3 linked regions of the Rattus norvegicus genome follow. The protein of the gene in region 3 purifies or fractionates together with the protein of the main gene of each other region. This does not show direct contact. Links are inferred from orthologs where the notes say so. Each region holds a gene or a part of one and is shown on either strand. Other genes may lie near its edges. The genes, in order: Hus1b, Fen1 and Rad1.

Region 1 (3,307 bases), on a different chromosome or scaffold from region 3:
CCCTCCTTCCCTCCTTTTGTGGGTCAAGGATATAAAGTTCTTAGCTACTGCCTTACCACCATGTGAACTAATTCTGAACCTGTTAGCAAGCACCCAATTAAATGCTTTTTTAAAAAGACTTGCCTTGGTCATAATGTATCTTCACGGCAATGGAACAGTAAATAAGACAAAAGAGGAACTGAAAGTTTACAGAAGCAACTGATTGTTCTGACTTCCTAGCTGAGATGCTGCTGCCTTCAAGCTAAGATTGGGATGAAATTGAGGACTTGCTTTGGGCCAGGAGTAAGATGAAGAAACCAGTCAGATCCTGGTCTCTAAGACACCTTAGTCAGAGACTTGGGCCATCATCTTGGAGGCCCTGCCTAGTTGAAGAAGGAGCCGAGCAGACATCCTGCTGTAATAGAATAAATATAGAAGTTCCAGCTGCATCCTCTGTATTTCACATGGGTCAGGACTCCAGGAGCACCAGAGAAAAGACAAATACATTTCACATACACAGATGTAGTATTTTCTTAAGGGCAAAGAACATCATAAATAATATGAAAACCAAAGACTTATCTGGACCATATTTACAGGGACAGAGGGTTAATGTTCTTGCCAGAGTTTTTATTCTTTTGTTATTAATTTATTTATTTGAGATAAAAAATCTCACTGTATAGCTCTGACTGGCCCAGAATGTAACTCTAACTTTCCTTAAACTTGTGATCCTTCCTTCTTGCCTTTGGCCCCAGTGTTGAAATTATTGGTACGTGTCACCAGCCTGGTCCTATCAGAGATCTTAAAAAGCAAGCAACAAACTACATACAAGGAATGTAAAGTTGACATACATACATTGCAAGTTGAAGCCATGTTATTCTACTTATCATATCACTACATACAAAATAGATTGTTATATGACGCTACTGACAGAAGGTATGTTGATAGAATTTTCTCTGGGACAGTTTGGTAACAGAAGAGTTTTATATGTACATGCTATGACCAAGAGTTCCCCTTTAAATTTAACACAAGTAAATACTGACAAAAGTAAATGTATTTTGTATAACAGATGTTTATTATTCCAGTAATAGGTCAAAATTGAATCATGTGAATTCCTCTTGTGAAATAATTATTTTTATCAATATACTGGGAAACTAGCCATGAAAATGATAGACTTGTTAGTGTTTAATGGTATGGAATGATATCCATTATGTATGTATTTTAGGTGCAAATAAAATGTGTCTAGTGTATCACATTGTTTATAAGGCATGTAGTAACTAACATCTGCAAGTAATATCTGTACTGAACAAAACTATAATATATATTAGGTATATATATGTAACAAATGTTTTAAAAGGGTTGGTTATTTCAGTGGTACTTTAAATTGTGGTCACACTATATAGAGTGACCTTCTTATGAGCAGATCAGAAGCAGTGACGTATTCAAATAGGGCAGGTATGTGGGAAGGTAAAGATGGGTCCAGAGACCGCCCTAAGCATCACCCTATAGTGTTTGACCTAGGTGTCCTCAGGTGGAAGTGGACCTGCAGGGATGTGGAACCCAAGTATAGGCAGTGCTGGGGCAGGGGGGAGGCGCAGTAGAACGCACCCCAGGCATGGTAGGTGAGGCGGTTGCGCCCCAGGCCGGAAGGTTAAGCATGTTACACTCCGGGCCGGAAGAGTGAGCCAGCTGACTACTCTGGCAGCGGTTTCCTCACAGCGCTCCCTCTACCACCTAGGCCCCATGAAGTTTCGGGCCAGGATCACCAGCAAGCGTTTTATAGAGCTCTTCATACAGGTCAACAGCACCATAGCAAAGCTGACGAAGGTCTGTGTGCTCCGCGTGTGCCCTGACAGGCTGTGCTTCTGTCCAATGGGGCTGCTGAGTGAGGCCAAGCTGTGGGGTGAGGTGAGGCGGAATGTCTTCCACCACTTCTGCATGGAGGGTGTTTCGCAGGAGTTCAATGAAATCTATCTAGAGCTAACGTCTGAGCATCTGGCCAGAGCCGTGAGGAATGCAAGCAACGCTTCATCCCTGAAGCTGCAGCTCACCAACAAGCTGCGCCCCTGCCTTACTGTGGTGGTAGAGCTGGCATCGTGCCCCGGCCACACCCGCGCTATGGTCCACGATCTGCCTGTGAGGGTACTTCCCAGAAGGTGGTGGAAAGAATGCACAGAGCCCCATGTTCGGGGCTCTGACGTGAGTGTTTATCTGCCTGCTATGAAGACCTTGAAGAACATGGTGGAAAGGATGGCAAATGTGGGCAGTCACGTGCTGGTGGAAGCAAATCTAAAAGGCAAAATGAACTTGAGTGTAGAAACTGATGGAGTGACTATTAAAAGCTATTTTAGAAATCTTGGAAGTCCTCCAAATGCCGTTCTGGGTATGTCTCAAGGCAAAGACCCAGACAACATGGTACAAGTACGGGTGGATAATAGGAAACTTCTACGGTTTTTTGACGGACAGCAGATAAACCCCACAATGGCCTTATGTAATATTTTGAGCAATACCCTACTTCATCTTGTTTTGGTTCACGAAGATATTTCTCTTCAGTATTTTATTCCTGCCTCATGAATTTCAAGCAGCCTTAATTTTCTTTTTAAAAGAAATCTTAATTTAAGTTCTTTCCAGAACTGAGACTTTGAGTTACTTTCGTTAAAAGCTTGCAACCCTGTGGATTTTGTAGGGTGTTGATTTTGTTGAGTGCTTCCTTTGTAAATTGTTAAGAAATAATTGCAAGTTCATGTGATTGCTTTTTGGCTTTGACCATTACCTTACATTCAACTTAGTTGTTTGGGAATAAAGGATTGTAATAAAACAATTAACTGAATCCTGAAACAATTATATTATTTTTTATGAAAAATATTGTGAAGAATGAGAAATTTCTCCTTTTAAAATAATCATAAATTATTTTGAGAGACTTAATGATCTCAGTCTCTAAAGGTATAAGATGAATTTTTGTATGTATATCATATATTCAGAGATAACTGTTTTCTGAAGGTTCTCAGTGGAAGTCTTAACATTACTGGGGAATAGCCACTTTAGAGAGTTTAAACTCTCAAACAATTTACTTTCTCACTTCTGAGTTGGAAGCATAGGATTGTTTGGTTTGGTGACTATTTAAGTGTGAGGACTATATGTAAAAGCTGTTTTGGGAAAGCTTCAGCATCTTCAGGCTATGTGTATGTGTGTGTGTCTGTGGTGTAACACAGGCATGCTTTGTGATTCTGTTAGTAAGCTTAAACACAATGACAAATGCAACTTACAGAAAGAAGGGTTTTCTGGCTTACGGTATTTTGAGCAATAAGAATACATCATGGTAGGGAATCTT
Region 2 (2,193 bases), on a different chromosome or scaffold from region 3:
AACCACCACAGCTGAAGTCGGGGGAGCTGGCCAAACGCAGTGAGCGGCGTGCAGAGGCCGAGAAGCAGCTGCAGCAGGCTCAGGAGGCGGGGGCAGAGGAGGAGGTGGAAAAGTTCACCAAGCGGCTTGTGAAGGTCACCAAGCAACACAACGATGAGTGCAAACACCTGCTGAGCCTCATGGGCATCCCATACCTTGATGCGCCCAGCGAGGCAGAGGCCAGCTGTGCTGCCCTGGCAAAGGCTGGCAAAGTCTATGCCGCAGCCACGGAGGACATGGACTGCCTCACTTTTGGCAGCCCCGTGCTAATGCGACACTTAACTGCCAGTGAGGCCAAGAAGCTGCCCATCCAAGAGTTCCACCTGAGCCGCGTCCTGCAAGAGCTGGGTCTGAACCAGGAGCAGTTTGTGGATCTGTGCATCCTGCTGGGTAGCGACTACTGTGAGAGTGTCCGTGGCATTGGACCCAAGCGGGCTGTGGACCTCATCCAGAAGCACAAGAGCATCGAGGAGATCGTGAGGCGGCTGGATCCCAGCAAGTACCCTGTTCCGGAAAACTGGCTCCACAAGGAAGCCCGGCAGCTCTTCCTGGAGCCGGAAGTACTGGACCCAGAGTCTGTGGAGCTGAAGTGGAGTGAGCCAAACGAAGAAGAGTTGGTCAAATTTATGTGCGGTGAAAAGCAGTTTTCTGAGGAGCGGATTCGTAGTGGGGTCAAACGGCTGAATAAGAGCCGCCAAGGCAGCACCCAGGGACGCCTAGATGATTTCTTCAAGGTGACAGGCTCACTCTCCTCAGCCAAGCGCAAGGAGCCAGAGCCCAAGGGGCCTGCCAAGAAGAAAGCAAAGACTGGGGGAGCAGGAAAGTTCAGAAGGGGAAAATAAATGTGTCCTTCCCTCCACTGTCCCTTGGCCCCAGGACAGTGTTTTGTACCCTCAGCTAGAGCACATCCCTCTCGCCCTGCGTCTTGAGGACAAGTTCATTGCTTCCCAGCGCTGCCCTTCAGAGCTTTCCCTCGCTTGACCCTGTGTCAGGAAGCCCGTAGCTCTGCTTTTCCTCATTTTTAGCTCAGGAAAGATGTCAGGCTCAAACCACTTCTCAGGTTAATGGACCCTGTCCGTTGCTCTGTGCAACTGCTAGCAGTATTTTAAGGGAGAAGATAAGGCAGGGAGAGAGTAGGAGGTAATTTCCCAGCTGGCCAGCTGGTGGGGGACAGGTGACTAGAGCGCGGCTGGCGACTGCTCTTTCTAATTTCACTGTGCCCTGGAAGACAGCCATCAGTCTGGGATTAGCTGATGAGAGAGCCGCAAAGAGAAACAGAGGAGTCTGGCGACAACAGATTTAATACTGACTGGCTGTTTTGTGGACTTGCTGTCTGGTGAGCCCAGTAGTTGCGCAAGGGAGTGAAAACACAGTGTTTAGGTTTAGGTTTGTAGTGTTTGGTTTTGTGCCTCCCCTCTCCAGTGTTGGGAATTGAACCCAGGGCAAAGGCATTAAGTGTACCACTGACCTGTAGCTCCAAGTGATGTTCTGAGGCTCCAAGTGATGGCCTTTCTGAGGCAGTCAATTTAATTGAGGTTTTGGAAGAAAAAACTTGTTCATGGGCTGTTTCTATTTTAAAAGATGTGAAGAAAAAAAACAATAAAATTATAAAAGCGATCAGAATGTGGCTTTCTGAATGTTTGAGAATGCCCTGAGTGTTTTAGTTTCCTGTAGAATAAATAGAATGGTCTTCTTTCCCCTCTTAAATCCCCAATAGCCTGGGATTGCCCTGGTAGCGAGTGTTTGTTTAGGAGTGACCACAAGGTGGCGCTGTACCCATGTCATGTGGCCACAGCAGCAGTGGTAGCACCAGCCTTTCGTACTTCAGGAGTTTGAATAGCTTGGCTGAATTTCACATGTTCACCAGTCTGAGATAAAGGAGTCCCCTGGAACAGTCTTGTTACTTAGATAAACTATCTCATAACATCCAGGCATTTCGATAGGTCACTTGATAAACACTTGCCATTCAGAGACCTTGTCCCACCAGGTGCTGGTGGGGCACGCCTTCAGTGCGTCCAGGTGGCTGAGACAGGTCAGTCTCCAAGTTCAAGTCAGCCTGGTCTACAGAGCAGGTTCTAGGACAGCCAGGGCTACACAAATCCTGTCTTGACAAACCAATAAAACAAGTAAGTAAGTAAAAGAAGCCTTGTTCTT
Region 3 (4,308 bases):
TGAACCCTTTCTTTGAAATCCAGCTAAAAGGCTAAGTCCTACATGTTTCCTTACCACCCTAAAAGTAGTAATTGCCTCATTAACTTCAATTAATGTATCATAGTGTGACTCAGATTACAGTTCCCAACATGTTTCTGTCTGACTCCTAAAAGAGAGCACTGACTTTTATTGAAAACCTTATGAGTCCAGCTTATTTTTCGAAAAAGTCACTTTTATCCTTTCAGACAAGGGTATGAGATTTAGCTGTTAATTAAAACTGGGGTACAATATACACTGGCCTTTCACATTTACTTTTTACTTAGTACTAGAGTACTACACTAAGCACAAAGGTCAGAAAAGTCTGAGGCAAGATTTCCTCCATAAATATACCTTGCTTAAGGAGTTTTCAGGTGACGGAAAGTAACTCTAACAAGAACCTGCTCGCCTTTAGAATAAACCCAGTTTTCTATGAAGCCTTCTTTCCTGCTAAACTCCAGTATTTCTGGAGGAAAGAAATCTTGTTCATCGTCTCCTAGATGCCAAGGCCAGGAAAGCTCATCTTGGTATAAGTGTGACGCACTGTTGAGCACAGTAAAATTAATGGTCTAAGTTTATTATTATTGATAATATTATTATCCCGGGGTTGAGGATTTAGCTCAGTGGTAGAGAGCTTGCCTAGCAAGCGCAAGGCCCTGGGTTCAGTCCCCAGCTCCGAAAAAAAAAAAAAAAATACTATTATCCTTTGAATTAAAGATCTAACCAAACAAGTTGGACTCACAGGGACAGTAACTTTAAAGGCTTGGCAAACAAACTTTGGTAACCCCGTGTGATATGGACCAAGATGGAAGGAATTTATTGATACACCATAAAGACTTTGAGGAAAAAAAGAAAAAGAAAAAACATTACTCTGGGGAGGCGGGGGACCAGTAACCGGAAGGCAGAATATTAGAACTAAATACTCATTAAATTACCTCCCTGTTAGTTGGCTAAGGGTCTACGAACAGCGGTTTCCAGGAATACGGCCATCTGCACGAAAACTAGACATAACACTGTCCTGTCCAGTCAAGGGAACCTTAAGCTCATAATCCAGTCAAGTTTTGGTTGAAGTCACTTCGGTAGCTCAAAGGCGGGTCAGGAAGCCGACTCCAACTCCAGGAGTCGGGCCTCTTACCTTGCAAACAGGACCTGGAATACGATCTTTTTCTTCCTCCGCCTCTTTTGCCACATCGGCCTGCTTAGCTGGCTGCCCGGCATCTTTCCGGTTCTTTTTTGGCTTCTTTGCTTGAACCTCCAGGTCCCCACGCCGCTTTCTCTTAGTCGCCGCCATCCTGCCTCGCCGCGTTAGTTGCTGTCCACACTTCCGGTTCCGCCGCTCGCTCCTTCTTCCGATCTCTATGGTAGTGCACGCTGAGCCCTGAGTTAGTCATCCAGCTCTCAGACGCTTTCTTCCGGTCTTGTGGTAGACTATCTAGGCACCCGGCGGCTCGGTGGTGACGGTGGCCTGGTTGGCTGCGGGTCTGAACAGTGGCGGGAGCTGTTTGCCAGGCTTGCTGGCTTCTGGATTCTCAGGGTGTTCTTCTTGGGGCTAGGCTGACAAGGGCTTTACGGGATCGGACGTCACCTCAAAGGCAGGGGCCTGGCGCCCGGGGCTCCCCTTAGTGGCCGCTGTGCGGCGAGCGGGCTGGTGAGCTGGGTGACGGTCGGCGCCGCGGTCTAAGGTGTCTGTGGCGGGCTAAGGTTGGTGGCGCTCAGAGGGGCTAAGCAGGCCTCGTGCTCTTGTTACCCTGTAGGAACCCGCGCCAATTAGAACTACCCAGTGAATTGCATTTTCCGGCTGTATCAGACAAGGAAACCGTAGTTTTGAGACATGGAGATAGAATGTTCCCGATTTCGGCTCGGGTTGAGATCGCCAGTCCTGTTAGCACTGATCGCGGGGTTTGTTGTTCCGTGTCTCAGGTTTTCGGAGATCTTCCGGAAGAGGAGCATCCTTCTCTCTGAGCTGAACGTACAGTGGTCCACCCATGCCTCTCCTAACCCAGTACAATGAGGATGAGTACGAACAGTACTGCTTAGTGGCCAGCCTTGACAACGTTAGGAATCTCTCCACTGTCTTGAAAGCCATTCACTTCAAAGAACACGCCACGTGTTTTGCTACTAAAAATGGAATCAAGGTTACCGTGGAAAATGCAAAGTGTGTGCAAGCCAATGCCTTTATTCAGGTATGGGGGAGTGGAGACATTTTTAAGCATTCCCTAACGAGTTTAACTTGAAGGACTTATTCCATAAAACTCAAGTTAGAGAACAAAATGCCTACTTTTTTCTTTCCTGCCAACAAATACTTTCCCCATCTTGTCTCACACAGATGAACGATTACTAGTGACAGTTTATTAATGAGACACTCATCACCATTTACCTTTTATAGACACTTTATCTTTCCTATTTGACATAAGTGGCACCAGACTTAATTTTCAATAGTCTTATTTAGTTAGGATAACAACCGAGAATGTTTACTCTTTACAATATAATTATTGAAATGCATGTTTTAGTTTTTCCTCTTACTGGCTGTAATAGCATTTTTCCCCCCGAGGCAGTCTAACATATGGCCCTGGTTACCTGGAACTTGCTTTTGTAGACTAGATCGACTTCAAGTTCTTGGAGATCAGCCTGCTTCTGCCTTGTATTGAAGTACTGGCATCAAAGCCCCACCATCACCCACAGCTATAATCTATTCTTATGTAGTATTTGTATGAGTCAGGTCGGAGCTCAATGTTCAATTCATGTTTTTGAACGCTTGAGTATAGTATCAACTCACAATTATGTAGGAATAAATAAAACATGGTTTCTGTTTTCAAAAGAAATTGGAAATAATTATCATGCATGCATTATTAAATTGTCCTATCCTGAAGTGACTTTAGCTTTAACTGATAGGCACAAAAGACAAAGTTAGGATAAACTTAGTGGATTTAGATCCAGAAATGAAAATGAAGGACCCTTGCTGAGAGGGGTTGTCTTTGTGGTTTTTTATTTGGTTTTGGTTTTTACTTTTTAATTTTATGTGTAAGAATGTTTTATCTGCATGAATGTCTGCAAAAGGCATGTGCCTGGTTCCTGCCCAACCCAGAAGAGGGTGTTGGGTCACCATGGTGAACTATATTACTACTACTACTATTACTATTACTGCTATTACTACTACTACTACTATTACTACTACTACTATTACTACTACTATTGTTGTGGCATAAACATTTATTATGGTTAAATTGGTTACAGATGGTTTTGAGTCACCATGTGGGTGCTGGAAATCAAACGTGTTTTCTGGAAGTGTAGCAAGTGTACTTAACTGATGAGCCATCTCTCCTACTCCCTTTTAACCAAAAAAAAAATTCATACAATATATTTTCATCATATCCTACCCCTACCCCCTTCAGGAGCTTCTAAATGGGGCCTTAGTGTTACACCTTTAATGATTAAACCATCAAGTAGTATTCAAGTGATAAACATTGCAAAGTTAGCATGCCTTAGTTGGGAATGAGAAATAGTCTCATGGAGTTGGCACAGTATGGTTACTTTCTAAGCATAAAGTGAAATGTAAACTCTCATGTGTGAATTTTTCATTCCTTACTATGACCTCACTTTCATGTTTGCATGTTTGTTCTTTCCTAGGCTGATGTATTTCAAGAATTTATCATTCAGGAAGAATCCGTTACTTTTCGAATTAACTTAACTATCCTTTTAGACTGTTTATCTATTTTTGGATCAAGTCCTACACCAGGTGAACTATATTTCTACTACTACTACTATTATTACTACTACTACTACTGTTGTTGTGGCATAAACATTTATTATGGTTAAAAGCATAGAAAATACAGTAAGACTTCTGGGATATGAGCTTTTCTATGTTTTATTTATTTTTGGAGGCAGTCTTATGTATCCCAGCCTGGCCTTGAGCAGTCTGTATAACTGAGGATGACCTTGAACTTACCTTCCAGCCTTTGCCTCGACTGAGGAGATGATAAAGATAGGCAGCCACCTGTAGTTTTATGTGGTATTGGGGATTGAAACTAGCACTTAGTACATGTTAGCCAAGCTCTCTACTATAGCTGAGCTACAGCCCCAAGCCAGCCAATCCTTTGTTAGAAATCTAATTGCTCAGGGAAGACCTGGGGTCCCACTCCTAGTGGAGCTTTTGGCAGCTGGGAGCAGAGGAGAAAATCATTTCTTTGGAGGTCCTAGGGAGGGAACATTAACCTTAACCCTAACCCTAATAAGTAGACCCTAATAATTAGGGTGTGGATTTGTTTACATGGATTAAAATTTCAAAGAATAAAG

What was found.
Region 1: the proteins of Rad1 (region 3) and Hus1b purify together in Homo sapiens (co-immunoprecipitation; 3 studies listed by BioGRID and IntAct, counting the BioPlex papers as one, with this or other methods). This does not show direct contact. The link is inferred for Rattus norvegicus from reciprocal best matches to the Homo sapiens genes RAD1 and HUS1B.
Region 2: the proteins of Rad1 (region 3) and Fen1 purify together in Homo sapiens (affinity purification with western blotting; 3 studies listed by BioGRID). This does not show direct contact. The link is inferred for Rattus norvegicus from reciprocal best matches to the Homo sapiens genes RAD1 and FEN1.

Annotation. Positions count from the first base shown.
Region 1 is NC_086035.1:33,741,052-33,744,358, forward strand, and holds Hus1b (checkpoint protein HUS1B), read left to right. Parts: upstream 1-1,638; 5' UTR 1,639-1,719; coding exon 1,720-2,550; 3' UTR 2,551-2,806; downstream 2,807-3,307.
Region 2 is NC_086019.1:216,269,479-216,271,671, reverse strand, and holds the end of Fen1 (flap endonuclease 1), read left to right. Parts: coding exon 1-881; 3' UTR 882-1,656; downstream 1,657-2,193. UniProt on the Homo sapiens protein: Structure-specific nuclease with 5'-flap endonuclease and 5'-3' exonuclease activities involved in DNA replication and repair.
Region 3 is NC_086020.1:61,187,338-61,191,645, forward strand, and holds the start of Rad1 (cell cycle checkpoint protein RAD1), read left to right. Parts: upstream 1-1,471; 5' UTR 1,472-1,716; intron 1,717-1,935; 5' UTR 1,936-2,000; coding exon 2,001-2,198; intron 2,199-3,642; coding exon 3,643-3,751; intron 3,752-4,308. UniProt on the Homo sapiens protein: Component of the 9-1-1 cell-cycle checkpoint response complex that plays a major role in DNA repair. The 9-1-1 complex is recruited to DNA lesion upon damage by the RAD17-replication factor C (RFC) clamp loader complex.